7 linked regions of the Macaca mulatta genome follow. The protein of the gene in region 1 purifies or fractionates together with the protein of each later gene. This does not show direct contact. Links are inferred from orthologs where the notes say so. Each region holds a gene or a part of one and is shown in the gene's direction. Other genes may lie near its edges. The genes, in order: RC3H1, CNOT11, CNOT2, CNOT9, NUFIP2, YBX3 and CNOT1.

The links.
Region 2: the proteins of RC3H1 (region 1) and CNOT11 purify together in Homo sapiens (affinity purification with mass spectrometry, with the first as the bait; 4 studies listed by BioGRID). This does not show direct contact. The link is inferred for Macaca mulatta from reciprocal best matches to the Homo sapiens genes RC3H1 and CNOT11.
Region 3: the proteins of RC3H1 (region 1) and CNOT2 purify together in Homo sapiens (affinity purification with mass spectrometry, with the first as the bait; 3 studies listed by BioGRID). This does not show direct contact. The link is inferred for Macaca mulatta from reciprocal best matches to the Homo sapiens genes RC3H1 and CNOT2.
Region 4: the proteins of RC3H1 (region 1) and CNOT9 purify together in Homo sapiens (affinity purification with mass spectrometry, with the first as the bait; 4 studies listed by BioGRID). This does not show direct contact. The link is inferred for Macaca mulatta from reciprocal best matches to the Homo sapiens genes RC3H1 and CNOT9.
Region 5: the proteins of RC3H1 (region 1) and NUFIP2 purify together in Homo sapiens (affinity purification with mass spectrometry; 3 studies listed by BioGRID, with this or other methods). This does not show direct contact. The link is inferred for Macaca mulatta from reciprocal best matches to the Homo sapiens genes RC3H1 and NUFIP2.
Region 6: the proteins of RC3H1 (region 1) and YBX3 purify together in Homo sapiens (affinity purification with mass spectrometry, with the first as the bait; 3 studies listed by BioGRID). This does not show direct contact. The link is inferred for Macaca mulatta from reciprocal best matches to the Homo sapiens genes RC3H1 and YBX3.
Region 7: the proteins of RC3H1 (region 1) and CNOT1 purify together in Homo sapiens (affinity purification with mass spectrometry; 5 studies listed by BioGRID, with this or other methods). This does not show direct contact. The link is inferred for Macaca mulatta from reciprocal best matches to the Homo sapiens genes RC3H1 and CNOT1.

What each region holds. Positions count from the first base shown.
Region 1 is NC_133406.1:31,511,238-31,515,488, reverse strand, and holds the start of RC3H1 (roquin-1), read left to right. Parts: upstream 1-1,451; 5' UTR 1,452-1,763; intron 1,764-4,251. UniProt on the Homo sapiens protein: Post-transcriptional repressor of mRNAs containing a conserved stem loop motif, called constitutive decay element (CDE), which is often located in the 3'-UTR, as in HMGXB3, ICOS, IER3, NFKBID, NFKBIZ, PPP1R10, TNF, TNFRSF4 and in many more mRNAs.
Region 2 is NC_133418.1:9,406,742-9,411,012, forward strand, and holds the start of CNOT11 (CCR4-NOT transcription complex subunit 11), read left to right. Parts: upstream 1-1,471; 5' UTR 1,472-1,550; coding exon 1,551-2,064; intron 2,065-4,271. UniProt on the Homo sapiens protein: Component of the CCR4-NOT complex which is one of the major cellular mRNA deadenylases and is linked to various cellular processes including bulk mRNA degradation, miRNA-mediated repression, translational repression during translational initiation and general transcription regulation.
Region 3 is NC_133416.1:77,411,588-77,415,087, forward strand, and holds part of CNOT2 (CCR4-NOT transcription complex subunit 2), read left to right. Parts: intron 1-1,298; coding exon 1,299-1,424; intron 1,425-3,255; coding exon 3,256-3,380; intron 3,381-3,500. UniProt on the Homo sapiens protein: Component of the CCR4-NOT complex which is one of the major cellular mRNA deadenylases and is linked to various cellular processes including bulk mRNA degradation, miRNA-mediated repression, translational repression during translational initiation and general transcription regulation.
Region 4 is NC_133417.1:123,823,905-123,827,404, forward strand, and holds part of CNOT9 (CCR4-NOT transcription complex subunit 9), read left to right. Parts: intron 1-382; coding exon 383-492; intron 493-3,500. UniProt on the Homo sapiens protein: Component of the CCR4-NOT complex which is one of the major cellular mRNA deadenylases and is linked to various cellular processes including bulk mRNA degradation, miRNA-mediated repression, translational repression during translational initiation and general transcription regulation.
Region 5 is NC_133421.1:38,007,612-38,011,111, reverse strand, and holds part of NUFIP2 (FMR1-interacting protein NUFIP2), read left to right. Parts: intron 1-348; coding exon 349-2,073; exon of another isoform or gene 2,074-2,753; intron 2,754-3,500. UniProt on the Homo sapiens protein: Binds RNA.
Region 6 is NC_133416.1:9,905,425-9,908,924, forward strand, and holds part of YBX3 (Y-box-binding protein 3), read left to right. Parts: intron 1-827; coding exon 828-1,002; intron 1,003-1,590; coding exon 1,591-1,656; 3' UTR 1,657-1,691; intron 1,692-3,291; 3' UTR 3,292-3,500. UniProt on the Homo sapiens protein: Binds to the GM-CSF promoter. Seems to act as a repressor. Also binds to full-length mRNA and to short RNA sequences containing the consensus site 5'-UCCAUCA-3'. May have a role in translation repression.
Region 7 is NC_133425.1:54,150,435-54,153,934, reverse strand, and holds part of CNOT1 (CCR4-NOT transcription complex subunit 1), read left to right. Parts: intron 1-1,029; coding exon 1,030-1,221; intron 1,222-2,062; coding exon 2,063-2,205; intron 2,206-2,708; coding exon 2,709-2,817; intron 2,818-3,232; coding exon 3,233-3,402; intron 3,403-3,500.

The sequences.
Region 1 (4,251 bases):
GGGGGAAGAAATTACATTATCTAGGTTGCTTGTAATGGAAGTTGAGTTACTTGCTTCACCTAAACAAGGAAGTTGGCATGTTTGCCTAGCAACAGTCGCTAAAACCTTCTGTTGTGGAAGGTTCCCTAGGAGTGAGAAGAAGGGAGGAGGAGGAAAAGCAGGAGGAGCAGATTAATCTGTTTTTCCTAGCAGGGTACAGAGGCCTGGTTTGAGGAGGGAAAGGCTTTAAGAGATCCCTTTAGATTGGCACATGCTAACCTAAATCCCCCTATGGTAGCTAGAAATTCACTCTCTGTAGGACTAGGGTTACTATTTAGTAGGCTGAAAAGACGATTACAGATTAAACCCAGTTCAAAGGCAGCAAATTCCAATCAATAGAAAGACATCAATAGGTCTTCTAAACAGAAGCTGAGATTTCAGGAGCAGGAGGGTGTTAACAACTAAAAAGAATTCTTCTCTGCCAAGAGTTTAGGAAGGTGTGTGATATTTCTTTAAAATAATACAAAAATACTATCTGTGATAGCGATTCCAATGTATCAAGTTAAAGGCAGAAGTGCTTCTCTTGGGGTACTGTGATGTAAACAGTGAAGAAAGGACAGAAAAACATAATCTCTGCTCTCTTGGTCAAGTCCTGAAGCAAAAAAGGTGATGCTGCCGAGTAGAGAGTATTAAATGGTTGTTTATTTGGGGACTCTCTCTCTCTCTCTTCTCTTCTAGATGATTTATTTTGAAATCAGTACTGTATGGTGTTACGATAATCCCATTTCTTCCCCCTCTCAAAAGCTAAAGAGGGTTTGGCTAAAATGAATTGTCTGAAGGGACCTCTCATTCCCCAAAACCAAAACGGCACCTTTTCCACAAGGGACAAGAAACTTTTAAAGAGTAGCAAGGTTAGATTTCAGGAGCTCTTCGACGAGCCACATCTTTTCCTGTCGTCCCCAAATAGCTCTTATTGTTCACACAGCCCAGGAGAGACGTTTTGGAGTAGCGTGTCCGGGCCTTTGGGCTGTTTCACAGCCTTAGGAGGCTGAACTCCAAGAGGGGTGACGAGGACAAAGCTGATGAGATCCAGAACCTAGATAATATGGAAGAAGACAAATGGGGTGGGGGACAAGACGTGAAAAAGAAACCAGAGTTGGGGGACAACGGCTGAGAAAGCCAAAAGAGTAGACGTATTGCGGGGTTCGATGGAAACGACAGAAATTCCTCCAATTTACTCTCGCCATCTGGCCACTGGCCCGCTGAGCCCAAAGGCGCCGGTGCGGGAGGGCAGGCCGGACGGAGGGACCGGTTCCTCGGCTCAGGGAGTGTGAGACTTTGGGTCGCGGCGGAGAGCGTCGCCGGCCTCCCTCCCGGGCGTTGGTGGCCGGTGACTCAGAGCTTTGCTCCCGCGCCCGCCCCGCCCCTCCGCCCGCCCCGCCTTCTGAGGGAGGATCCTCGCCCTCGTCTCCGCCCCAGTCTCCGGGGCGGGCCGGAGCCTGAGGAAGAGGAAGGGGACGAGGACAACGAGCGACTGGGCGGCGGAGGACGAGGAGGAGGAAGAGGAGGCAGACCAACAAGATGGCCCCTGCTGCAGGAGCAGCCTCAGCAGCAGCAGGTGGGAGGCCGGAGGCGGTGCTGGCGGTGGCGGCGGCAGCCGTGGCCCGGCGGCCTGGGACAGAATCAGAGTCAACGGTGGCAGCGGCGGCGGCGGCGGCTGCCGCGGCGGTGGCGACGGCCGCGGGGACTCGGAGCTGAGAGGAGCTGCTGCTCGGACCAGCGCGGTGAGCGAGCGGCGGGCGGCGACTTGGGGAGCGGGGCTGCCGCGGCCGGGGCCTCCGTCGGGAACAATAGGCAGCTGTGGTCGGGAAGGATTTGTCCTCGCCCGCCCTCTGCTCCCCGCCGCAGCGGCCGCCCGGCCGGCCCCAGGCTCCTCAGGGCCCCCGCCGGCTGCTCTGGGGCTTGTCAGTGGCCGGCGTCCTTTAGGCCTCAGGCCTCTGCATGCCGCCTGGAGGGCCTGTAGGGGTAGGTAGGCCGAGAGGAGGGCGAAGGGAGGCTTGGACTAGAGGGAGGGGGCGAAAGGGCTGCCTGGCTCCTCTGGTGCTGCCAGGGCCTGGGCCAGTCGGGGAGTGCGCACGGGAACTGCTTTTTGGACCCCTCCTCTGTGGGGGTGGGGGAGGGCGAAGGCGTCTGTAAACAGGCGCCGCCTCTGACTCCCAGCACCTTAGGGCTGCTCCCTCCCCCAGCCCCTGAAGCGCTCCCCCTCTTTGGCCAAGCGGGGTTCACGGTGTCTGTTTCCCTGAAGCCCCTGGAGACCTAGCCTGTGGTCTTCTCCCTCCTGGCGGTGGGAAAATTGTGTGTGTGCAGGTGTCTTAAAAAAAAAAAAACTGAAATGCAACAAAAACATACAAAATATGGTTATCGATAAAGGATGGAATGGTAAGGGATGCGCCTCTCTAAACATCTCTAAGCATCAGTTCTGTAAACATCAGTTATGCCCGCGCCCCAGTTGAAAGTGAATTGAAACAAGAGCTCTTTTGGAACAGTAATAATACTACTCTTGACATATCAGAATAGCCCATGAAACTGGAGACAAACACTTAACTTTCAACGCGGAGACAAATTGTAATGTTTAAAGAGAACTTTTATTCCAGCTAGGCGTTTTAAATTACTAACATGCAGTATAAGAAGCAACATTAACTAGCGTAAAGTGGACCTCAGGAAGCACTTCTAAAGGAGACACAGAGGTGGTTCATCTCCAGCCATAGAGCTTCTTGTGCCTTGTCTCCTGTTTCAGTAATTTGTCCCTAAATTGTTCAAGACCAGTCTTTTCTCTGAGTTAGAAATTTGATTTCATTTTTGTTTGTTCTTGTTTTGTTTTGTTTTGTTTTTGAGACGGAGTCTTGCCTTGTCACCCAGGCTGGAGTGTGTGGCGCAATCTCGGCTCACTGCAGCCTCCATCTCCCGGATTCAAGCGATTCCCCTGCCTCACCCTCCGGAGTAGGTGGGATTACAGGCGCCCGCCACCACGCCTGGCTGATTTTTGTATTTTTAGTAGAGACGGGGTTTTCACCATGTTGGCCGGGCTGGTCTGGAACTCCTGACCTCAAGTCATCTGCCCGCCTCAGCCTCCTAAATTGCTGGGATTACAGGCCTGAGCCTTAAACTTAATTTTTCAAGGCTTCTACCACATTTTCTTACAAGTGAGGGAAAAGGTAGATTTAAGTTATTTCTAAAGTACTTTCTACCTAGGTATGCAGAAATTTATATTAAAATTGCTTGGATACATCCAAGGAAATTGCTTTTCACTTGTTAACATTCAACTGTAAGGCCTAAGGGTTATAGGTTGTGTTCTTAAGGAAGACTGACCTGTGCTGAAAAGATGCCAGTTAATGTCTTTCACCTCTTTTAAGGGTACATTTCTAAGTAGAATTGGTCTAAGTCTGTTATAATTAAAAACATTTTCAGGTTACATGAAGTCTAGTAAGCAGCACTAGTCTACCTCTTAGTTCTTCCACAACAATTGATACTGAATAGACTAGCAATTGAATAAACATAGAGGTTGAATTATCTTGGTTAGGATTTGAAGTATAGTGAGTGAATATCAATACTGACTTTCATTTTATGCCTAGCATAAATAATGTTGGAGATGTTTTGATTTTTTGAGTGACGGAGAAAGAACAACTTTCTGTGGCTCCTGATGTTGTGACTTTTTTGCAAACATTTCAGAAAAGACACCGTTTTTCAGATGCTCAGATCTGTGATTTTTTTTTTCTGTGCTAAATTTTGTTAGGTCAGCACAGATTCCAAGTCCATGTTATAATGATAGTTAAATTTATGTTTGGCCCTAAACCTATTAGAACAATTGTAGTAATTGATAGCTTGTAAGTTTTAAGTGGTTCATGTACTGTGTTATGAAAAAAAATCTCACCGTGTTATGTCAAGGGCAGATTTACCTCATATTTATTATCATTTTCCTGAAAATAAGTATTTTTAAGTGGTAAGGTTTTGTATTTGAGATTGGTTATTGACCCAGCAATTTATGGGCTTAGTCTGGGTCCTTATTTGTTTAATAGGAAAAAATTTAGGGAATTGTTTTTATTCATTTTATGTCAAAACAGTTTTAAGATGTGATCCCTCAATTGTCCCGTCTTCAGTGTCAATACTTATTACTTAAGTTCAGATTTTCTCAAGTAATAAAAATTTACTTCTAAGAAGTTTTGGGACCAGAGCTTAAGAATTAGATTTATATTTTCTTAGTAATATTAAAAA
Region 2 (4,271 bases), on another chromosome or scaffold:
AGCTGTGTGAGCAATAAAAGTAGTGGAAAATTACAGTCAAAGCGGGTTGTTCTCTGGCCAGCAGGGGTGGGGGCCATAAGGTGCTCAGTGGGGGAGCTTCTGAGCCAGGAGAAGGGATTTCACAAGGTAATGTCATCAGTTAAGGCAGGAACCGGCCATTTTCACTTCTTTTGTGATTCTTCAGTTACTTCAGGCCATCTGGATGTATATGTGAAGGGTTGGGCTCAAAGGCCTGACAGGTACAGTGTACACTGCTCTGGTGACGGGTGCACGAAAATCTCGGAAATCACTACTCAAAACTTATCCATGTAACCAAAAACCACCTGTACCCCCAAAACTACTGAAATACAAGTTTTAAAAAGATGAAAAAAAAAATAAAATTTCTCCCCAAAAACACATAAAATAAAAATACGTTTTAAAAAAGAATTGAGATGGCGCTTAACTAGATAATTAAGAATCGCTGGTGGTAATCACTGGTGAAATACATGCACGTTTCTGTAGGTTTAGGGACGGGCAAGTCTGGGAAATGCCACCTGGTGGTTCTCAGCCCAGACTACACCTCAGCCTCACCTGAAGAGGCGGGGTTTATTAATACCTGACTCATCTCTGGGGGTGGGACCAGGTATTTGCAACGCCTCCCCGTGGGTTTCTAATGCACCGCTAAGTGCCCAGGATAAGCACCCTAGGGCAGTCTAAGGAAAACGTGGCACAGCAAACAATTTTGTACATGAATATTAACTGGAGACATGTTCTTGAAATCGTGTTAAGAGGGAAAAAACCATGTACAAAAAAGCTCATAGCGCAGTACGATTCCATTTCTGCAATAAAAGAGTGTAAGACTAGAAATTAACCGTGGTTACGAGAAATGCGTGGCATCTTTTTCATTTACTATATTAAAAAAAATGTTTGAGACAGAGCGCCCAGACTGGAGTGCAGTGGTGATGACAGCTCACTGCAGCCTGGGACTCCCAGGCTCCAGCGACCCTCTCGCCTAGGACACTCAAAGCGCTGGGACTACAGGCACGCGCCACCGCGCCCCGCCGGCCTTTACAATATTTTTACGACGAATACTTATGGATGTTATGTTAAGAAAATAGTTAACATCCGAGGTGCGTTTTTGCAAGTAATAACGTAGATAGCATTTACTGGGACCGTCTGGCACCAGGCACTGTCCTAGGGACCGCCAAGGTGCGGCTTTCGCTTGCAGTTGCGCCGACGCACGCGGGCCCCGGGCGCTCCTGCCGGGGAACCTCAGCCGACCTAGCCCTGAAGGCCGCCAGCCCGACCTCTCACCGCGCCTCCCTTCCCGGGCCCCGCCCCCGCTTCCTGCCAATTCGCCCCGCCTACCCCGCGTCTCCGCATCCTCTTCCTGGCTTCGCTCCATCAGCCTCGCTTTCGCTGGGCGCTGTCCCTTTCCGCGGCGGTCTGGTTTCCCCGACGTGTTTTGTTTGCGACGCTGTCGTGTAACAGCGCGCTTTACGGCCGCGGGGACGGAGCGAGCCGGCGCCAGGGCCCCTCGGGCCGGGAAGAGGGGAAGGGGAGCGAGGTTGATGCCCGGCGGAGGGGCGAGCGCGGCGTCTTGCCGGCTTCTCACCGCCGCGGAGCAAAGAGTGTCCCGGGAAGCGGCAGGGTCGGCGTCCAGGAGCGGCTTCGGGGGCTCCGGCGGCGGCAGAGGCGGAGCAAGCGGCCCCGGGTCCGGGAGCGGAGGCCCTGGGGGCCCCGCAGGCAGGATGAGCTTGACCCCGAAGGAACTCTCGAGCCTGCTCAGCATCATATCGGAGGAGGCGGGCGGCGGCAGCACCTTCGAGGGCCTGTCCACCGCCTTCCATCACTACTTCAGCAAGGCCGACCACTTCCGCCTGGGTTCGGTGCTCGTCATGCTGCTCCAGCAGCCGGACCTGCTGCCCAGCGCGGCGCAGCGTCTCACGGCGCTCTACCTGCTCTGGGAGATGTACCGCACCGAGCCGCTGGCCGCAAACCCCTTCGCCGCCAGCTTCGCGCACCTGCTCAACCCCGCGCCGCCCGCCCGCGGCGGTCAGGAGCCCGACCGCCCTCCGCTCTCAGGTACCTGCTGAAGCCAGCTGTGCCGTGTGGAATGCGTTAGATTCCGCAGCTTTCCACCCGCGCTGCTGGGAGCTCACCTGAAAGGGAAATTAACTATCCGTGTGAACTGATAATCCTCTTTTTCCGCCTCCCTTTGCGTTCCCACGCCCCTCACTCCCTCCCCGCCTTAACTCTAAAGAATGGAGAGGTGGTAGCTTAATTGCAAGTTCGTGACACCGAAAATAATTTCTCTATACACCCCATCACATCATAGAGCTCAGTGTAGGTCTTGACATGTTTAGTGTCTCAAATACGGTTCGTTCTTCGAAAGCCCGTCTGTGGTGTGTGAAGTTAAAACCAACGATAAGACTAGATCTGTCCCCGGTTTTTAGTCTCAAAGGAGTACGTAGAAGTCAGTACTAAGAAGCTGAAGAAGTTGTGGGCGGAAATACACGTGAAACACCATTAAAGACTTTGCAGCCGCCTGCCTTAGCCTGTTAGGGATGGGGGCAGAGGATAGAAAGTCTCAAATTGATGATCTCGCGATTGGAAACGCATGACTTACTGGACATTATGTAAAGTGCATTCATGGTATAAATTATGTAAAATATATTTACCATTGTGTGGCATTGGTGAGATCAAACTAGTAGGTTGGATGCGAGGCTACATTTTTTTGTTTTTAAGCTCAAACAGGGGATGCTTTATGTGGATTTGCTTTGGGAGAAGACTTGCAGTCAGAAAACAAAAATGGCGTGGTGACAAGGGACCTGAAGGATTTAGGGACCAGTGTAGTGGAGGAAGCACATAGCTAGAGATAGGTAACAGCTTGATCTTACATTCCTTAACCAGCACAGGTAGGGCCTGCTATACAGTGAGTCAAGGCTAAGGCAGCAGATTTTGAGGTGACACCAGGAGTTTGTTTTTATGGTACAGGAGGGCCGCATTTCTAGTTAGCGTTCCTGCCTGGCACCCCGTCAGGATCTCTGATTGGTGTCCTGTAGTGCCCTTATCTAAGAAGGGCAACCTTTTGTATTGGCTGAGATGCCGTTAGGGTACAGGTACTTAACCTGCTTTTAAGAAGCTTGTGACTGCCCAGAAAGTGAATGTAACACAGGTTTGTGGTCAAAACCCACCACCTAGGCCTGGCGAGGTGGCTCACGCCTATAATATCAGCGCTTCTGGAGGCCGAAGTGGTGGAGGTTGGGGGTTGGGAATTGCTTGAGGCCAGGAGTTTGAAACCATGCTGGGCAACATAGTAAGACCCTGTCTACAAAAAATAAAAAATAAAAATTGTTGGGCATGGGTGGCTCACACCTGTAGTCCCAGCTGCTCAGGAGTTTGAGGCAGAAGGATCACTTCAGCCTAGGAGTTTGAGGCTGCAGTGAGTTAGGGTGACAGCGAGACCCTGCTTCTAAACACACACACACACACACACAAAGAGACAACCACCACCCTGGGGTGCTGGTATTAGAGGATTGGGACACTATGGGATTTAGGTCAGAGGGCCCTTTGAATTCTGAAGAACAAGTGAGGCAAGGGAACTGTGACTTATTAATGTCATTCTCATATACAGTGAATCTAAACCCACACCTAGTCCGTAGACTGCATTGTACACACAGATTTGCCATGGGTGGGATGGCAGTTGCCAGAGAAAGAATCCATGGATGGATTATATTTAACCGTTTTGTGCCTCAGATTCCTCATCTGTAAAATGCAAATAGTAACAATTGCCAGCTGGTAGAGTTGTTACAAAGAATAAAAGTACCTGTGAGTGTTACCCACTATTATTACCATTATTAAAGTAGGTAGGGATGGTGTGTAGGTAACATAGAAAAATATCAGTGCCAACACCCCACTCCCAGAGCTGCTGCTGTTTTCTGTTTAGGGTAAGACATTTAGTGGGTATGTCTTCAGAATGCTTTTCAGATGACTCTGAACTGAGGCAGGACTGCGATTGTGTAATGCTGGGTAGTACAGAGGAAGGAAGGACCACCCATGGAGCCAGAGAGATTCTCGGAAGGAGTGATACTTTTGCTGGATATTGATTAGGGATGCAGGTGCGAGGGCAGGAGTGACTCTGCCAGGTATTACTAAAGAACTGGGTGTAAAGCCGTGTGCGGTGGCTCATGCCTGCAATCCTAGCACTTCGGGAGGCCGAGGCAGGCAGATCACTTGAGGCCAGGAGTTCAAAACCAGCCTGGCCAACATGATGAAACCCCATCTCTACC
Region 3 (3,500 bases), on another chromosome or scaffold:
ATATGGCAAATTTAAATTCCATCTTGGAGGACCTAAAGATATGTATTAAAAGTTAATATATATTCAAAATGTATAATTAACTTATAATCAAAGAATTTGAGAAATTATAAATTGAAGCAGGATAGAAATTCTTAATTTCTATTGTCTTAATGATAATTTTTTAATTCGAAGTTCTTAAACTGCAGAAATAAATTTATAAACTGCAGTTTTTGTAAACAGCAGGTATGAATGATTTATCCTTTACCCTTGTAATTTGAAATTGTCACCTGTCTTTGAATGTTAATAAATTAATGGTGTCTGTTGGTTTTCTGTCAACGAAGTAATCTTGAGATAACATTTGCTGTTTGAGATTCTTACAATTGTGAAATTTGGAGAAAACTAAAAATTAATTGGGAAATGGCAAAATAAACTGAAAATGGTGAAACAAAAATTAAAGAAAAGCTATAGCGCAGGCTAAAAGAAAGGTAGAAAGTTTTCTTCAAAAATTAAGAACACAAGGTTATAAGAATACTAAAAAGTTAAGAAATTGAGATGATTAAAATAGACAAAGTAGAGAAGTTGGGTTAAATTTTAATTTTTAAAGGAAGCCAGCTGATTGTTTTAACTTAAAATGAACAAAAATACATTTAATTTATTCTATATATATTTATTGAGCGCCTACTGTGTAATAGGTAATATAAACTTCTGGGCTTTGTATCATATTTCTATATTTCCAACCCATTTACCATATATGGGAACCCTACTGCTACCCTTTTGTACCGCACCCGTGTGCACACACATTTGTATATGAACGCAGTCAATTACAGGTGGAAGTCCTCAGGGCTTCTGCGTCACTGCCTGTGTCTCAGCTATCTTTCTGGCCATTTGCAGGAGGCACTATCATTGTCACCATTTGTGTGTAACCGAAGCTTCAAGCATTCTAGATACAACCTCCATCTGAGCATAATGAAAAGACCAGTTATATCATAACAGTCTCCCTCTTGTTAGCTCACACGCTATAATTTTAGGTTACCATCTTCCACGGGGGAAATATATGCTTTTTCTTCTCTTTGTTATATCTCTAGGATTTGAGGTTTTTTATTATGCTGGTTGCGTATTGCTTTGCTAAATTGTTCATGAAATTCTTTGACATGAAATCAATCTGCAAGTATCTTTTGAGCAGCTACATACACCTTGTACAGTGCTGTGCATTATTTAGGAAGAAAGCACAATCATTTCTAATTATATTATAGTTGGTTTTTATAGTCTCTTAAAAATATTTGTAGAATCAGTAACCAGTGTTCGTTCTTATTATTTAGACGGAAGTGAAAATGTGACAGGATTGGACCTTTCAGATTTCCCAGCATTAGCAGACCGAAACAGAAGGGAAGGAAGTGGTAACCCAACTCCATTAATAAACCCCTTGGCTGGAAGAGCTCCTTATGGTAATTAAGCTTTTTAATGATGACCAGTGGGAAGTTTCCATTGTATGTGCACACACACATGCATTTACATGTACATATACATATGTTTGTGTATACGTATATGTTTGCATTTTCTAATCAGGTTAGTGTAATTTTTTCAGAATTGATATATTAAAAGTGATTTTTCTTCCCAGAATACCATGGTAGCAAAGTTAAATGGGAAAACTTTGTACAAAAACCCAAGAGGAAGTCCTCATTGGTATTCAGAAGTTATTTTCTTCTGTTATCCCTGCCTTAGTTTACCTTAGGTGATTTATTTTTGTGGTCTGCCTTTTCTCTCCTTAATTGATCACACATTTTTTCAAAAGAATATATTCCTGGTGATTAATAATGACTGACTATACATTGAAGATGTTTTTCTGAGCCAAGGTTTCTCAACCTCCACACTGTTGACATTTGGGCCAGGTAATTCTTTGTAGAGAGGAGATCTGGGGGGCTGTGGTGTTTATATAGAATGCTAAGCAACATTCCTGGCCTTGGCCTACAAGATGCCAGTAGCACTCTCTGTTTCCAACCCCCACAGCCTCTATTGTGACAGACACAAATGTTTTCAGACATTGGCAGATGTCACCTGGGGAAAAAAAATTGTCCCCTGTTGAAAACCATTGCTCATGGGTCATGTATAGCTTATGCAGACTCTTGGTCTCCATTAATATCCTTCATCACCCTTTTTCACTGTCTGTAATAGATAAGAGATTTGGCTAATCAGGGATAAACAGAAATAAAGGAGGGGAAACATATGCAATAACAGTGTAACAATTTGGGCATGAAAATTCTGTGACAGCAATGTGGCTATACTGTTTTTATCACATAGTTTTTTTCTTTTGGGAAAACCTGATAGAGACCAGTAACAAAACGGTGAATTTAAAAGAATCAGTTCATCCATTATTTTAAGATAGAATTAATATTTGATCACATTTTCAACCAAGAAAGATTTCTGTGCCATTCAGATATGAATACAAATAACAGTATATGAAGAAGGGAAAAATGTATTGTTTATATTCTAAAGTTTCCAAATTAGTCTCCCCAAAATTAAAAGAAAAAATGATCTGCCCTGGAAGTTGAGTACCTAGCTACTTGATTCTCAGTTCAGACTCTAATGTTTTTAACCTTTCCTCATAGGTCCATTTTTTCATCCCTTTAATCATTCCCGTTGCTCTCCTTGGACCATCTCTAGTTTCTCCATATCGTTCTTGAATTGTGGAGCCCCAAACTGGATATTGTTCTCCAATAAGGGCCCGACTAATGCCAAGTATAGTGGGAGGATTATTTCCCAGTTCTTGCATGTTTTACATCTATAACATGGAGTCCAAGAAAATCTGAAATAATATGGAGTTGTTTTATAATTGATTGCAATTTGCTCACTCTGTAAGTCGCTTTCAAGTAGAATACTGACATATTCTTTTAAATTTTATTTTGTTCATTTGTATTTGACAGTTAACTGGTATTTATATCTAGTCAAATATTTAAATAAAACAAGCTTTTAAACCAAAATTGTTAATAATTAATCCAATATCAAATTAAATTTTTAAGCACCTACTACGCATGACAGTAGATGTACAGGATTACTATTGATTTCCCTTGTATTATTTTGTATGTTGAGTTATTAATCAGTAAATGAAAATTTAGTTCTTCATTGTTACCCTGGATACTAATTTTTTGAAGTACGCTTTCATAGCATTAAAAAAAAGAAAACTTTTGGTGTATTATCATGAGGAAAGTTAACTTTATAATCTCTAGCAAAATATCATAAGTATCAATTGCAATTCTCCGGATTATTTTCATTACATAGTTGGAATGGTAACAAAACCAGCAAATGAACAATCCCAGGACTTCTCAATACACAATGAAGATTTTCCAGCATTACCAGGCTCCAGCTATAAAGATCCAACATCAAGTAATGATGACAGTAAATCTGTAAGTAACTGAGAACTATGTGAGTGAGTGATGTAGTTTTTCCCTTCAGATTTCTCTTATATTAACAGTTACTTACTAAATACTGTTACAAAACTGTTTTATCTTGATATCTGTAATAAT
Region 4 (3,500 bases), on another chromosome or scaffold:
GACTAGGGTTTTCAACTTTTGCACCATTAACATTTGGGGCTGGATGAATCTTTGTGGTGGGAAGGAGAGGGCAGGAGAGGACTGTCCTGTGCATTGTAGGATGTTTAATGGCATCTCTGGCCTCTGCCCACTGGATGCCAACAGTGCTCTATAATCCTGAGTTGTGACAATCAAAAATGTCTTCAGACATTGCCACATGGGGGGAAAATTTACCCCATTTGAGAACCATTGATTGAAACTAATGACCAGTAACATTGTTTCCTAAGGATTCCTTGCTCTGACAATGTTAAGGCCTTACAGAATTAACCACCTAGAAATTTGAAAGTTCAGGATCCTTAGAAATCAACCCTGGGCTGTGAATGTAATTATTGTTTTCTTCCAGGTCAGCGTTTCTCGCAGCACACATCCCACTTTTTTTGTACCCCTTTTTGCACACTGTCAGCAAAACACGTCCCTTTGAGTATCTTCGGCTCACCAGCCTTGGAGTTATTGGTAAGTTATTAGAATTGTTTTGCAAGCCTGAAATACTCACAGTAGTAGTCTAAGTTGGGTGTTTTGTCTTGCCGCTCATGATTTTTGTACACCAGTCATTCATTTTTCTCTTTGACATTGTCTCATTCACTAATCAGTAAGTATCAGGAACATGATGACTCCTATCAGGCACACTTCTAAGTGTTGTTAATAAGGCTTTGAGATCTAACCTTTGGTATTAAATTCAGCATATATGTAGAAACATTTGCTGGAATTGCAGGGAGAGTAAAGCATAAGAACTCGATTCAGTATATAAAGAGTATTATTAAAGGAATAAGAGTTTACATTTGGGACTTGACCTCACCCTCGCCCTCACCCTCGCCCTCGCCCTCACCCTCGCCCTCGCCCTCTCCCTCTCCTGTCCTCTCTTCCTGATAGGGTCTTGCTGTGTTACCCAGGCTGGACTTGAACTCCTAGGCTCAAGTGATCCTCCTGCCTCAGCCTCCCAAGTAATAGGGACCATGGGCACAGGCACACACCCCTGTCTTTTTTTGTTTGTTTTTCTTACTTCTAATACCAGAATGCTTCGTATATCTGAAACGCCCTAAGAATGTGCATGTCAAATACACTAAGCATTCTGAAAACCTGTAATTCTCCCATAACTCCAGGAATATGAATCTGTCAGTTCACCTAGTTAAATTTTTTCATGCTCAAGTTAATGTATAAATACATTTACTGTGGGGGTATGGATAAAATACTTTTTACTTAAAATAATATATCAGCAATTTCAGATCTCAGACTCTTCAGACATTAAAAGGAAAGTAAGGGAATACTGCTTACAACTCCATACTCATAAATTTCACAACTTAGATGAAATGAAAACATTCTTTGAAAGATGCTATTTGCCAAATTGCACTCAAGAAAAAACAGGTAAGCTGAATAGTTTTATATCTATGAAATACATTGTTTTTGTAGTTGCAAACCTTCTAACATAAAAATGGCTCACCTGTCTTCACTAGTAAATTTTACCAAATACATAAAGAAGAAATAAACCAATTCTACAAAACTTTTCCAGAACATAGAAAGGAGGGAACATTTCTCAACTCTTTGTGAGACCAGCATTAGACTGTTAATAAAACCAGACAAGCTGAGTCTTTGGGGAAAAGTCAGTAAAATTGATAAAGCTCTAACCAGACTGACTGAGAAAACATTTATATCCTTAACCCTAACTTATATCATCCTACTTAGATGATACATTTATGAGTTAAGGATATAAATGTTTTCTTTAGGCTCGGATTACGTTGAGTATATGAGACAATTGTTACTCCTTACATGCCAAAGTTTTAAATTGTATTTCCTGATTGTGGTTTATAATTTTAAGAAAAAAGCATTGAGAAAGGAAGAAAACAAAACAAAAAAAATGCTTGAATGGATTAACATTTCATAAGCCCAGAGATAGTTCTTTGCTACCCAGGAGTCTGAGAGCTGAAATAGCTGATACATTATTTTCTTAAGTAAAAAATGTTTACCCTTATCTCCCGTAGTAAATGTATATAAAAACATTAACTTGAGCATGAAAAAATTTTAGTTAATGTTGAAAAACTGAATACTTTTTTCCTAAGATCAAGTACAAAGCAAGGATGTTCATTCTCACTACTCCCATTTAATAAAGAGCCTTCAAATTAGAAAGAAAAAACAGTACTAGCTACTCACAGACAATATTATTTCATAGACAATCCCAAATAATCTACAAAAAAACTACTAAAACTAAAGCTAGTAAGTTTAGCAAGGTTGCAGGATACAAAGTCAGCATATAAAAAATCAATCAAGTCCGGGCATGGTGGCTCATACCTGTAATCCCAGCATTTCAGGAGGCCGAGGCGGGTAGATCACTTGAGGTCAGGAGTTCAAGACCAGCCTGGCCCACATGGTGAAACCCCATCTCTACTGAAAAAGAATTTAAAAAGGCAAAAATTAGCCGGGCATGGTGGCATGTGCCTATAGTCCCAGCTGCTGGGGAGGCTGAGGCAGGAGAATTGCTTGAACCTGGGAGGTAGAGATGCAGTGATTGCAGTGAGCCAAGACTGCGCCACTGCGCTCCAGCCTGGGTGGCAGTGGGAGACTCTGTCTCAAAAATAAAAATTAAAATTAAATTTCTATATACTAGCAATGAACAATAGGAAATTGATTTTTTTTTTTTTTTTTTGAGACAAGGTCTTGCTCTGTCACCCCCTTTTTTTTTTTTTTTTTTTTTTTTTTTTTTTTTTTGAGATGGAGTCTCGCTCTGTCGCCCCAGCTGGAGTGCAGTGGCCAGATCTCAGCTCACTGCAAGCTCCGCCTCCCGGGTTTAAGCCATTCTCCTGCCTCAGCCTCCAGAGTAGCTGGGACTACAGGCGCCCGCCACCACACCCGGCTAGTTTTTGTGTGTTTTTTTTTTTTTTAGTAGAGACGGGGTTTCACCGTGTTAGCTAGGATGGTCTTGATCTCCTGACCTCGTGATCCACCCGTCTCGGCCTCCCAAAGTGCTGGGATTACAGGCTTGAGCCACCGCGCCCGGCCTCACTTTTGAGTGCAGTGGCATGATCATGGCTCACTGCACCCTCAAACTCCTGGAATCACACAAATCCTCCCACCTCAGCCTTGAGAAACTGGGACCATAGGCACATGGCACCACACCTGGCTACATTTTCTTATTTTTTTGTAGAGACAAGGTCTCACTTTGTTGCCCAGGCTTGTCTCAAACTTCTGGGCTCAAATGGTTCTCCTGCCTTGGCCTCCCAAAGTGCTGGGATTACAGTTGTGAGCCATTGCACCCAGCTGAAATTTTTTTAAACTACCATTTATAACAGCACCAAAACGTGAAAATTTGGGTATAAATCTTTTAAAATATATTCATGATCTATAACTGAAAACTACAAAACTGATTTCTAATGAAATAAAATGCAGAGATAAACCATGTTCATTGATTGGTGTATCAGTGATTCAGTATTGTTAAGTTGTTCGTTCTCCACAAAGTGATCTATAGATTC
Region 5 (3,500 bases), on another chromosome or scaffold:
AAAGAAAATTTTATAACAGCCTTGTGAGAGTGATGGGTAGATTGATTTTGTTAGATGAGAGGTATTTGGCATACTGCTTAAGAGGTCTTTTTTTCTGGCCTCAGACTTTGCTTTGAATTTTGGCTCAGTTCTACCTCTTGCTTTGCTTAGCAGTAGATTGCATTTCCTAGTCTGTGAAATGGGGCTGACAAGTGTCTTCTCATACAGATGTGAAATAATATAAAGCTACAGTTCATAGCATAGTGTCTAGCATACAGTAAATAAACATTTCTTAAATGTTAGGTATTAGTGTAATTTACATGTTGTGATTTTTTTTTTTTTAATAAACCGTTTTTTTCCCTCCCCTAGGCTATGGTGAACTAAACGGTAATGCTGGAGAAAGAGAAATCTCTTTAAAGAACCTGAGTTCTGATGAAGCCACCAACCCTATTTCCAGGGTCCTCAATGGCAACCAGCAAATTGTAGACACTAGCCTGAAGCAGACTGTAAAGGCCAACACCTTTGGGAAAGCAGGAATTAAAACCAAGAATTACATTCAGAAAAACAGTATGGACAAAAAGAATGGAAAGTCTTATGAAAATAAATCTGGAGAGAACCAGTCTGTAGATAAGTCTGATACTATACCAATTCCAAATGGTGTGGTAACAAATAATTCTGGCTATATTACTAATGGTTATATGGGTAAAGGAGCAGATAATGATGGTAGTGGATCTGAGAGTGGATATACAACTCCTAAAAAAAGGAAAGCTAGGCGCAATAGTGCTAAGGGTTGTGAAAACCTTAATATAGTACAGGACAAAATAATGCAACAAGAGACCACTGTCCCAACCTTAAAACAGGGACTTGAAACTTTCAAGCCTGACTATAGTGAACAAAAGGGAAATCGAGTAGATGGTTCGAAGCCCATTTGGAAGTATGAAACTGGGCCTGGAGGAACAAGTCGAGGAAAACCTGCTGTGGGTGATATGCTTCGGAAAAGCTCAGATAGTAAACCTGGTGTGAGCAGCAAAAAGTTTGATGATCGGCCCAAAGGAAAGCATGCTTCAGCTGTTGCCTCCAAAGAGGACTCATGGACCCTATTTAAACCACCCCCAGTTTTTCCAGTGGACAATAGCAGTGCTAAAATAGTTCCTAAAATAAGTTATGCAAGCAAAGTTAAGGAAAACCTCAACAAAACTATACAAAACTCTTCTGTGTCACCAACTTCATCTTCATCATCATCATCATCTACTGGGGAAACTCAGACCCAATCATCAAGTCGCTTGTCCCAGGTCCCTATGTCAGCGCTGAAATCTGTTACTTCTGCCAACTTTTCTAATGGGCCTGTTTTAGCAGGAACTGATGCAAATGTTTATCCTCCAGGGGGTCAGCCACTGCTAACTACTGCTGCTAATACTCTAACACCCGTCTCTTCTGGGACAGATTCAGTTCTCCAGGACATGAGTCTAACTTCAGCAGCTGTTGAACAAATTAAGACTAGCCTTTTTATCTATCCTTCAAATATGCAAACTATGCTGTTGAGCACAGCACAAGTGGATCTGCCCTCTCAGACAGATCAGCAAAACCTGGGGGATATCTTCCAGAATCAGTGGGGTTTATCATTTATAAATGAGCCCAGTGCTGGCCCTGAGACTGTTATTGGGAAGTCATCAGAGCATAAAGTGATGGAGGTGACATTTCAAGGAGAATATCCTGCCACTTTGGTTTCACAGGGTGCTGAAATAATTCCCTCAGGAACTGAGCATCCTGTGTTTCCCAAGGCTTATGAGCTGGAGAAACGGACTAGTCCTCAAGTTCTGGGTAGCATTCTAAAATCTGGGACTACTAGTGAGAGTGGAGCCTTATCCTTGGAACCCAGTCATATAGGTGACCTGCAGAAAGCAGACACCAGTAGTCAAGGTGCTTTAGTGTTTCTCTCAAAGGACTACGAGATAGAAAATCAAAATCCTCTGGCCTCTCCTACGAACACTTTGTTAGGCTCTGCCAAAGAACAGAGATACCAGAGAGGCCTAGAAAGGAATGATAGCTGGGGTTCATTTGACCTGAGGGCTGCTATTGTATATCACACTAAAGGTAACTCATTTGTTTCCTATGCAAAGATTTTTATTGGCCAATTTAGTATATTAAGAATTTTAAGAGAATTAGTTGTTCATATTAAGAGTATTTTAAGAGAATGACAATGTGGATAAGCAACTAACATCAAACTGATTCAGGGTCTTTGGAACTAGTATGATTAAAACTTAGAAGAAATGTTCACTTTTCCAACTTAAAATGGTTTTTAAAAATACAAACATAATTGATCTACCTGGTTCAAAGAAGTGAGGAGAACTTGCTTAAAGGTGTTGATGTTATATTTTCTTTTGACCGAGTGCTTTAAAAAAAATTTTATTGAACATATGTTCTCTTTCCTTTGCTTTTTTGTTTCTCCTTTGCTTTTTGTTTGTTTTTTCTTTGAGAGGGAGTCTCACTCTGTTGCCAGGCTGGAGTGCAGTGGTGTAATCCCGGCTCACTGCAACCTCCACCTCCCAGGTTCAAGCGATTCTCCTTCCTCAGCCTCCTGAGTCGCTGAGATTACAGGCACGTGCCACCACGCCCGGCTAGTTTTTGTATTTTTAGTAGAGATGGGGTTTCACCGTGTTGGCAGGATGGTCTCAATCTCTTGACCTTGTGATCCACCTGCCTTGGCCTCCCAAAGTGCTGGGATTACAGGTGTGAGCCACCGCGCCCAGCTTCTTGTTTGTTTTTGAGACGGAGTCTCTCTTGCCCAGGCTGGAGTGCAGTGGTGGGATCTTGGCTCACCGCAGCCTCTGCCTCCTGGGTTCAAGTGATTTTCCTGCCTCAGCCTCCCGAGTAGCTGGGATTACAGCCATGTGCCACCATGCCCAGCTTATTTTTGTATTTTTAGGAGAGACTGGTTTCACCATGGTGGCCAGGCTGGTCTCAAACTCCTGACCTCGTGATCTGCCTCCCTCTGCTTCCCAAAGTGCTGGGATTACAGGTGTGAGCCACTGCGCCCAGCTTCTCCTTTGCTTTTTGTATCATATGCTTCTTTATTAGTGAGCTCATTTAGTAGTTCTAATTTGCTTAAAATGAGTAGAAGCACTATTTTTGAAGAGGAGTCTGATAAGTCTTAAAAGGAGTAATGGATGCCAATTTGTAACTAGAAAATAAGTTAGACAAATTACAATGTCAAGCATGATAAGCATAATCAAGACCAGGCTCTTGGGAGTCTCCTTTCTATAGCCCCAAAGCCCAAGTTTAAAGGGAACGAGATATCTTTCAAGTTTCACGCTAGTAACTCTCTTTCTTTTCTTTTTTTTTTTTTTTTTTGAGATGGAGTCTCGCTCTTGTCTCCCAGGCTGGAGTTCGGTGGCGTGATCTTGACTCACTGCAACCTCTGCCTCCCGGGTTCAAGCGATTCTCCTGCCTCAGCCTCGCACATAGCTGGGATTACAGGCGCCCACCATCACGCCTGGCTAATTTTTGTATTTTTAGTACAC
Region 6 (3,500 bases), on another chromosome or scaffold:
ATCCACAGAATTACCATTCAAATTAAATATTTAATTTGAAAACCGACTAGCACAGACTCTGACACATAATATTGTTTCTTTTCATGTTTAATTCCCTTAGTCTCTACTAAATTCTGTTCATGGAAGGCAGATGCCAGACTACTCTTCTTCTCTTTTTTAATTTTCCTATTCTTAGTGCTTATCAAAGGGTCTGATAGGAACAGAGTATGTGTTCAGTATGTGTATGTGCACTGCAAATAGGTATTCAAATGAAAGGGGAAAATGATGGAAAATGTGTTTTTTTGTTTGTTTTGTTTTTTTTTTTTATTTCATGAAACCTCGATTCCTTTTGCTGCACTGGCCTGTGAATAATTCTAGCAATAAGTACTGATCACTTGACTTTTTTTGTTTGTTTGTTTTGTTTATTTTGTTTTTTTGAGATGGAGTCTCCGTCTGTTGCCGAGGCTCCAGTGCAGTGCCACAGTCTCTGGTTGCTGCAACCTCTGCTTCATGGATTCAAGCAATTCTCTTGCCTCAGCCTCCCAAGTAGCTGGGATTATAGGCACATGCCACCACACCTGGCTAATTTTTATATTTTTAGCAGAGATGGGGTTTCACCACGTTGGCCAGGCTGGTCTCAAACTCCTGACCTCAAGTGATCCGCCTGCCTCAACCTCCTAAAGTACTGGGATTACAGGGGTGAGCCACCACGCCTGGTCCTGATCACTTGACTTCTTAATTTTTAAAAATAAATAAAACATTATTTTCTGGAGAAGCCCTGTCCCATTGGCACTTGTTCTATTTTGTTCTATTGGCACTTGTTCTCTTTTGTCCTGTGTTCCCTCCAGCAGAGGACCTCCTCGCCCACGACCTGCCCCAGCAGTTGGAGAGGCTGAAGATAAAGAAAATCAGCAAGCCTCCAGTGGTCCAAACCAGCCGTCAATTCGCCGTGGATACCGGCGTCCCTACAATTACCGGCGTCGCCCGCGTCTTCCTAACGCTCCTTCACAAGATGGCAAAGAGGTCAATCCAACCAGTCAGGGTGGATTGTCTTTAATCATGTCAAACTAGCATTCTAAGAGTGGTTTTATCACATGATAACTTGACACTTAACAAATACAAAAACATTTTGCTCAAGATCTGTATATATAGGGTGTGCCTTGCACATAACACAGACCAAATATTTGAATCCAGTTAACATTCTCTGAAAGAATGACCCATACTAATGGGGATTCAGAGCTCATACATTTAGGGCTCTTCAAATAAGAGAGGCATTAATCGAGAGGAAGCTGCCTCTAAACACGAGTTGAAAGCAGTTGTATGTCACAGACTTCATGGAGAGTAGCGGTATTTAGTTTGCCGTTTGTAAGCTGTTCTTCTATGGTACTAATTTTGTTTTGTTTTTTGTTTTTGTGGGGTTTTGGTTTTGTTTTGTTTTGGTAGAAATGCCAGGGACTGAATATGGTACTAATTTGTGACTCATACATAAGAGTAATTTTTTGCATGCTAATTTTCCTTTACAGGAAAATTCAAACTTTGAAGAACTTTCAGTCTTGAACTTTCCACTGTCATGTGACTTTATCTGATTTATGGCTTTGTTTTGCATTTTAGGCCAAGGCAGGTGAAGCACCAACTGAGAACCCCGCTCCACCCACCCAGCAGAGCAGTGCTGAGTAACACCAGGCTCCCCAGGCACCTTCACCATCGGCAGGGTAAGCGCTGGGGCAGCCCAGTCTTGAGTTGGTATTTTCTGTTTAGTATTACTGGTTTCTCAACAAGAGTACAAATTAGTCTAAACTAGTTCTGCAGTTCATCTGTGCCAACTCTTTGTCTCTGTTGGGATTCTGTGGCAAGAGTGATTTGGTGGTTAAATATTTCTGGGATTGACCTCATTTTGATAAGCTTTGGTGAGGGTATAAGCATTCAGACGGAGTTGATGATACTCAACTTCTTTTTTCTAGACAGGCAGTTTTTTAACTGCCAGTACCACTTAGGAAAACTGATGCTGAAAGTTGCTAACAAAGGCCTGGTTTTAGTAATCAGAAACAGTTTCAGAACCTGTTAAGTAATCAGAAACAGTAGAATAAACTAAAGGTTTTTTTTCCTTCCCTTTTCGTTTGATAATCAACTTTATTTATTTTGAGGCGGTGCAGCATAATGTATAAGAGCCAAGGTTTTTCTATCCAATGCAGGCTCTACTGCACCTCTCATTTGCTGGGTGATCTTGAGCAGTTTATCCTCTGTCTCAGTACTGTCTGCTACTGGTAAGAATTAGGATACTAATTATATTTACTAGGGTTGTTGCAGGGATTATTAAGTGAAATAACAGGAAGTGTTTACAATAGGGTATGGTAAAGAATAACCTCTCATAAAAGGATAGCTTGTTATTTTCTTGTCATTTTCTACTTTTTTCTGTCTTTTAAAGATCTTGGACATTTTATTTACATAGAAAGGATTGTAGCTAGAAAGATCAACTCAATTATAAGTTCTGGGCTTTTTTTTTTCCCTCCTATAACCCTTTTAACTGAGACTTTAGTTCTTATACTTCTTGGTTATCACCCTTTCCATTAGCTTTTAGTTAAGAGAGAGGTTGTAAACTCGGTGTCAATGCTGTTTTTCAAAAATTGTTAACATTTCATAAATGAAGTTTTGGGATTATTATAAGTTCTTGTGTCTTAAGGCCATCTGCTTTTATATCCAATGATGTGGGATTTTAATCAGCCTTTGATTAGGTAGGCATTTGCTATGAGGGCAATATTCTGTTTTATCTTGGGTAGCATGGACAGTCTGTCACAGAAATAAGTTCCCTATTCAAACTTGGAATTAACTGATTTAGAGTAGCATATTAATCATAAAAATGATCATAACCTTTTATGGAGTAACATTATTTCTAGGTATTGTTTCTAAGGAAATAATTTTAAATATTAGGAAAAAATATTTTTACAATTTAGTCTGTCTGACATTTGGTAAGTAGCTAACTAATTGTGGTATTTTCATATTAGGAGATAGGGTGCAGCCACTAAAATGATTTTGAGTATTGTTCATTAGTAATGGTAATTTTAATTTATACAATTTTATAAAATTTTTGCTATTATGTACTGACTTCTGGTTTATAAAAATACTTTATTAAAAAGCGAGAGTTTCCATTTAATTAACATATTGCTTACAGATCTATACAAGATGTGTTTGTATTTAGAGCATTTGAAGTACTCTTTTTCTAATTATATGAAAAGCAGATAATTTCTGCCTTTTTATTCTTTTACTCATGATTACTTTGTCATTCTTTGTAAGTTTGATTTTAATTTTTCCCAGGTGACCTAAAGAATTAGTGACCATTCAGAAATAAAGCAAAAAGCAGGCCACAACCTTACCAACACCAAAGAAACATTCAAGCAATAAAGTGGAAGACAAAGCAAGATTTGGACATTGGAATGTTTACTGTTATTCTTTAAGAAACAACTACAAAACGAAAATGTCAACAAATTTTTCCAGCAAGCTGAGAACCTGCCTGCACAGAAGAC
Region 7 (3,500 bases), on another chromosome or scaffold:
TACGCCATTCTCCTACCTCAGCCTCCCGAGTAGCTGGGACTACAGGCGCCCGCCAACCCGCCCGGCTAGTTTTTTTTGCTTTTTTTGCTTTTTTTTTTTTTTTTGAGACGGAGTCTCGCTCTGCCGCCCAGGCTGGAGTACAGTGGCCGGATCTCGGCTCACTGCAAGCTCCGCCTCCCGGGTTCACGCCATTCTCCTGCCTCAGCCTCCCGAGTAGCTGGGACTACAGGCGCCCGCCACCTTGCCCGGCTAGTTTTTTGTATTTTTTAGTAGAGACGGGGTTTCACCGTGTTAACCAGGATGGTCTCGATCTCCTGACCTCGTGATCCACCCGTCTCGGCCTCCCAAAGTGCTGGGATTACAGGCTTGAGCCACCGTTTTTTGCATTTTTTAGTAGAGACGGGGTTTCGCCATGTTAGCCAGGATGGTCTCGATCTCCTGACCTTGTGATCCGCCCGTCTCGGCCTCCCAAAGTGCTGGGATTACAGGCTTGAGCCACCGCGCCCGGCCAGGCTAATTATTTTCTAAATGGCTTGATTTATTTGTCCAGTGTATTCTCATGGCTAGATTCAGATAATGCATTTTAAAAAATAGGAATAGCTCAGAAGTAATGCTGTATTCTTATTCTGTCCTATCAGGCTTTGACAGCTGGACTGAGTACTATACTTTTCATGGTTTGAAACACTTTCTTAGGATGTAGAGGGCTTAGTAGATGGTGCAAGTGGTGCTGCCCTCAGTCTGTCCCATTATTACTAATGCTCTCTTTTATCACTTGATTATGCTGCTGTCTGCCAGGTTTTCCTCTCTCAAATGAAACACCTCTTCCTTTGTGCCACCTTGTACTGCCCCACTTGATAGTATTAATTCTGAATAGCTCAGGAAGAAGGAAAAGAAGAGGCCCTCCATGTTTGAATGTAAAAATAAGAAAAAGGGAGTAAACATACTAATAGACCTCTATTTGATACATGTGTCAATAAAAAACCTTAACATTCTTTTGTCTCTTGTTGGTTGTTTCCTTCTCTAAAACAGCAAGCTTGGGCAACAGATGATGTAGCTCAGATTTATGATAAGTGTATTACAGAACTGGAACAGCATCTACATGCCATCCCACCAACTTTGGCCATGAACCCTCAAGCTCAGGCTCTTCGAAGTCTCTTGGAGGTTGTAGTTTTATCTCGAAACTCTCGGGATGCCATAGCTGCTCTTGGATTGCTCCAAAAGGTTGGTTCTTAAGCTATTACTTTTAGAAAATGCTAGGTGTGTAAACATTTATTGACCTCCGCCACCATCTACATATTTATACAGTTAAGCTTAAGATTTCATAATATAAATCAAGTTCTATAAGTAGGTGATTTTTTTTTCCCAATGTAGAATGTAGTCATAGAAGTTTTGAATGGTAAAATTGGAAATCTTTATTTTTTTCTTAAAGATATTCCTGAGATATGATTTGAAGAAACTTTAAAAGCCCTTCAGTTGTGTGTATGTGTGTGTGTGTGTGTGTGTTTAAGAGACAGGGTCTCTCTCTGTCACCCAGGCTTGAGTGCAGTGACGTGATCATGGACTCAAGTGAGCCTCCCACTTTACTGTCTCGAGTAGCTGGGATTACAGGTGCGCACTGCCAAGCCAAGTTAATTTTTAATTTTTTTTGTAGAGACGGGTCTTGCTTTGTTGCCCAGGTTGTTCTCAATCTCCTGGGCTCAAGTGGCCTTCCCTCCTGAGCCTCCCAAAGCATTGGCATTATAGGCATGAGCCACTGAGCCCAGCTGCCCTTTAGATTTTGAGGGACAAGTTGATCCAAGAATTTGGATCAGGGTAGGTAGGGAGCCCTGGGTTTTAACTACAGCAAAGCCTTTTATGACAATGAAGAGCACAGAATGAACTTAAACCAGATAGAATTTAGAGTGTGTGTGATAGGCAACTGAAGGGGATGTTTGGAGAGTGGAAAGGACAGGGAGGCTTTGGAAGGTATTTGGTACTTGGCATTGAGATTTGGTTTCTGGCTATGATAGTTGGGCCAAGCACCATATTTTCCATGGGTCTGAACACTTTCTTTCTCCTATAGGCTGTAGAGGGCTTACTAGATGCCACAAGTGGTGCTGATGCTGACCTGCTGCTGCGCTACAGGGAATGCCACCTCTTGGTACTAAAAGCTCTGCAGGATGGCCGGGCATATGGGTCCCCATGGTGCAACAAACAGATCACAAGGTCAGTAGCCATCTTCGAAAAGTAGTGAGTATTGGATCGCGACTGCCTTTTGACATAGATAGTACTGTTTATGTCCAGGGGTTTCCCTTTTTTCTAGTAGGTAGATGGGACACTTGGACTTCCTACTTCTGAGAGGTGAGAATTGTTAAGTAGTTGTTTTCCATCTGGTCTCTACCTTCTCCCCATGTTGGATATAGAAAACTAGTACCTTATTTTGGGCAATAAATTGTAGGTCATTGTTTTAAAAGGTTTCAGTGATTTCTCAGAAGTGGTATTCATGTATAAGTATTTTAATGTCTTAAATGGAATCCTCTGTATCCTAGGTTTTGAAAGCAAAGCCTGGGCTATCTGTTCTATTTCATTACTGGCTGTTTTTCAATTTGGACACTGATTTACAGTTGAATCTCAAGGCATTCTTAATTTGGAGCACATTTCCATTGAGTACAATGGGCACATACAGTATGGTTAAGCCTATATGAGTAAAGATACTGAATTTTTTCTAGGTGCCTAATTGAATGTCGGGATGAATATAAATATAATGTGGAGGCTGTGGAGCTGCTAATTCGTAATCATTTGGTTAATATGCAGCAGTATGATCTTCACCTAGCGCAGGTATGGAAGGAATTTACTTGCAAGGACAAAAGGACTCAGGGAAGTATGTTTGCTCTTTTTTTTTTTTTTTTTTTTTTTTTGAGACGGAGTCTTGCTGTGTCTCCCAGGCTGGAGTGCAGTGGCCTGATCTCGGCTCACTGCAAGCTCCATCTCCTGGGTTCACGCCATTCTCCCGCCTCAGCCTCCCAAGTAGCTGGGACTACAGGCGCCCGCCACCACGCCCTGCTAGTTTTTTGTATTTTTAGTAGAGACGGGGTTTCACCATGTTAGCCAGGATAGTCTCGATCTCCTGACCTCGTGATCCACCCGCCTCGGCCTCCCAAAGTGCTGGGATTACAGGCTTGAGCCACCGCGCCCGGCCGTATGTTTGCTCTTAAGTGTTTTCCCTCTTACGTTGTGTTTTCTGTGTTGCCAGTCAATGGAGAATGGCTTAAACTACATGGCTGTGGCATTCGCTATGCAATTGGTAAAAATCCTGCTGGTGGATGAAAGGAGTGTTGCTCATGTTACTGAGGCAGATCTGTTCCACACCATTGAAACCCTCATGAGGATTAACGCTCATTCCAGAGGCAATGCTCCAGAAGGGTGAGGATTAAACACTTTGAGATCCCTGTGCATTTAGTAGTCTCCTAATATCTTTAGGGATGAATGTGCAGACTTACTAACATTACTTGTTAAAACTG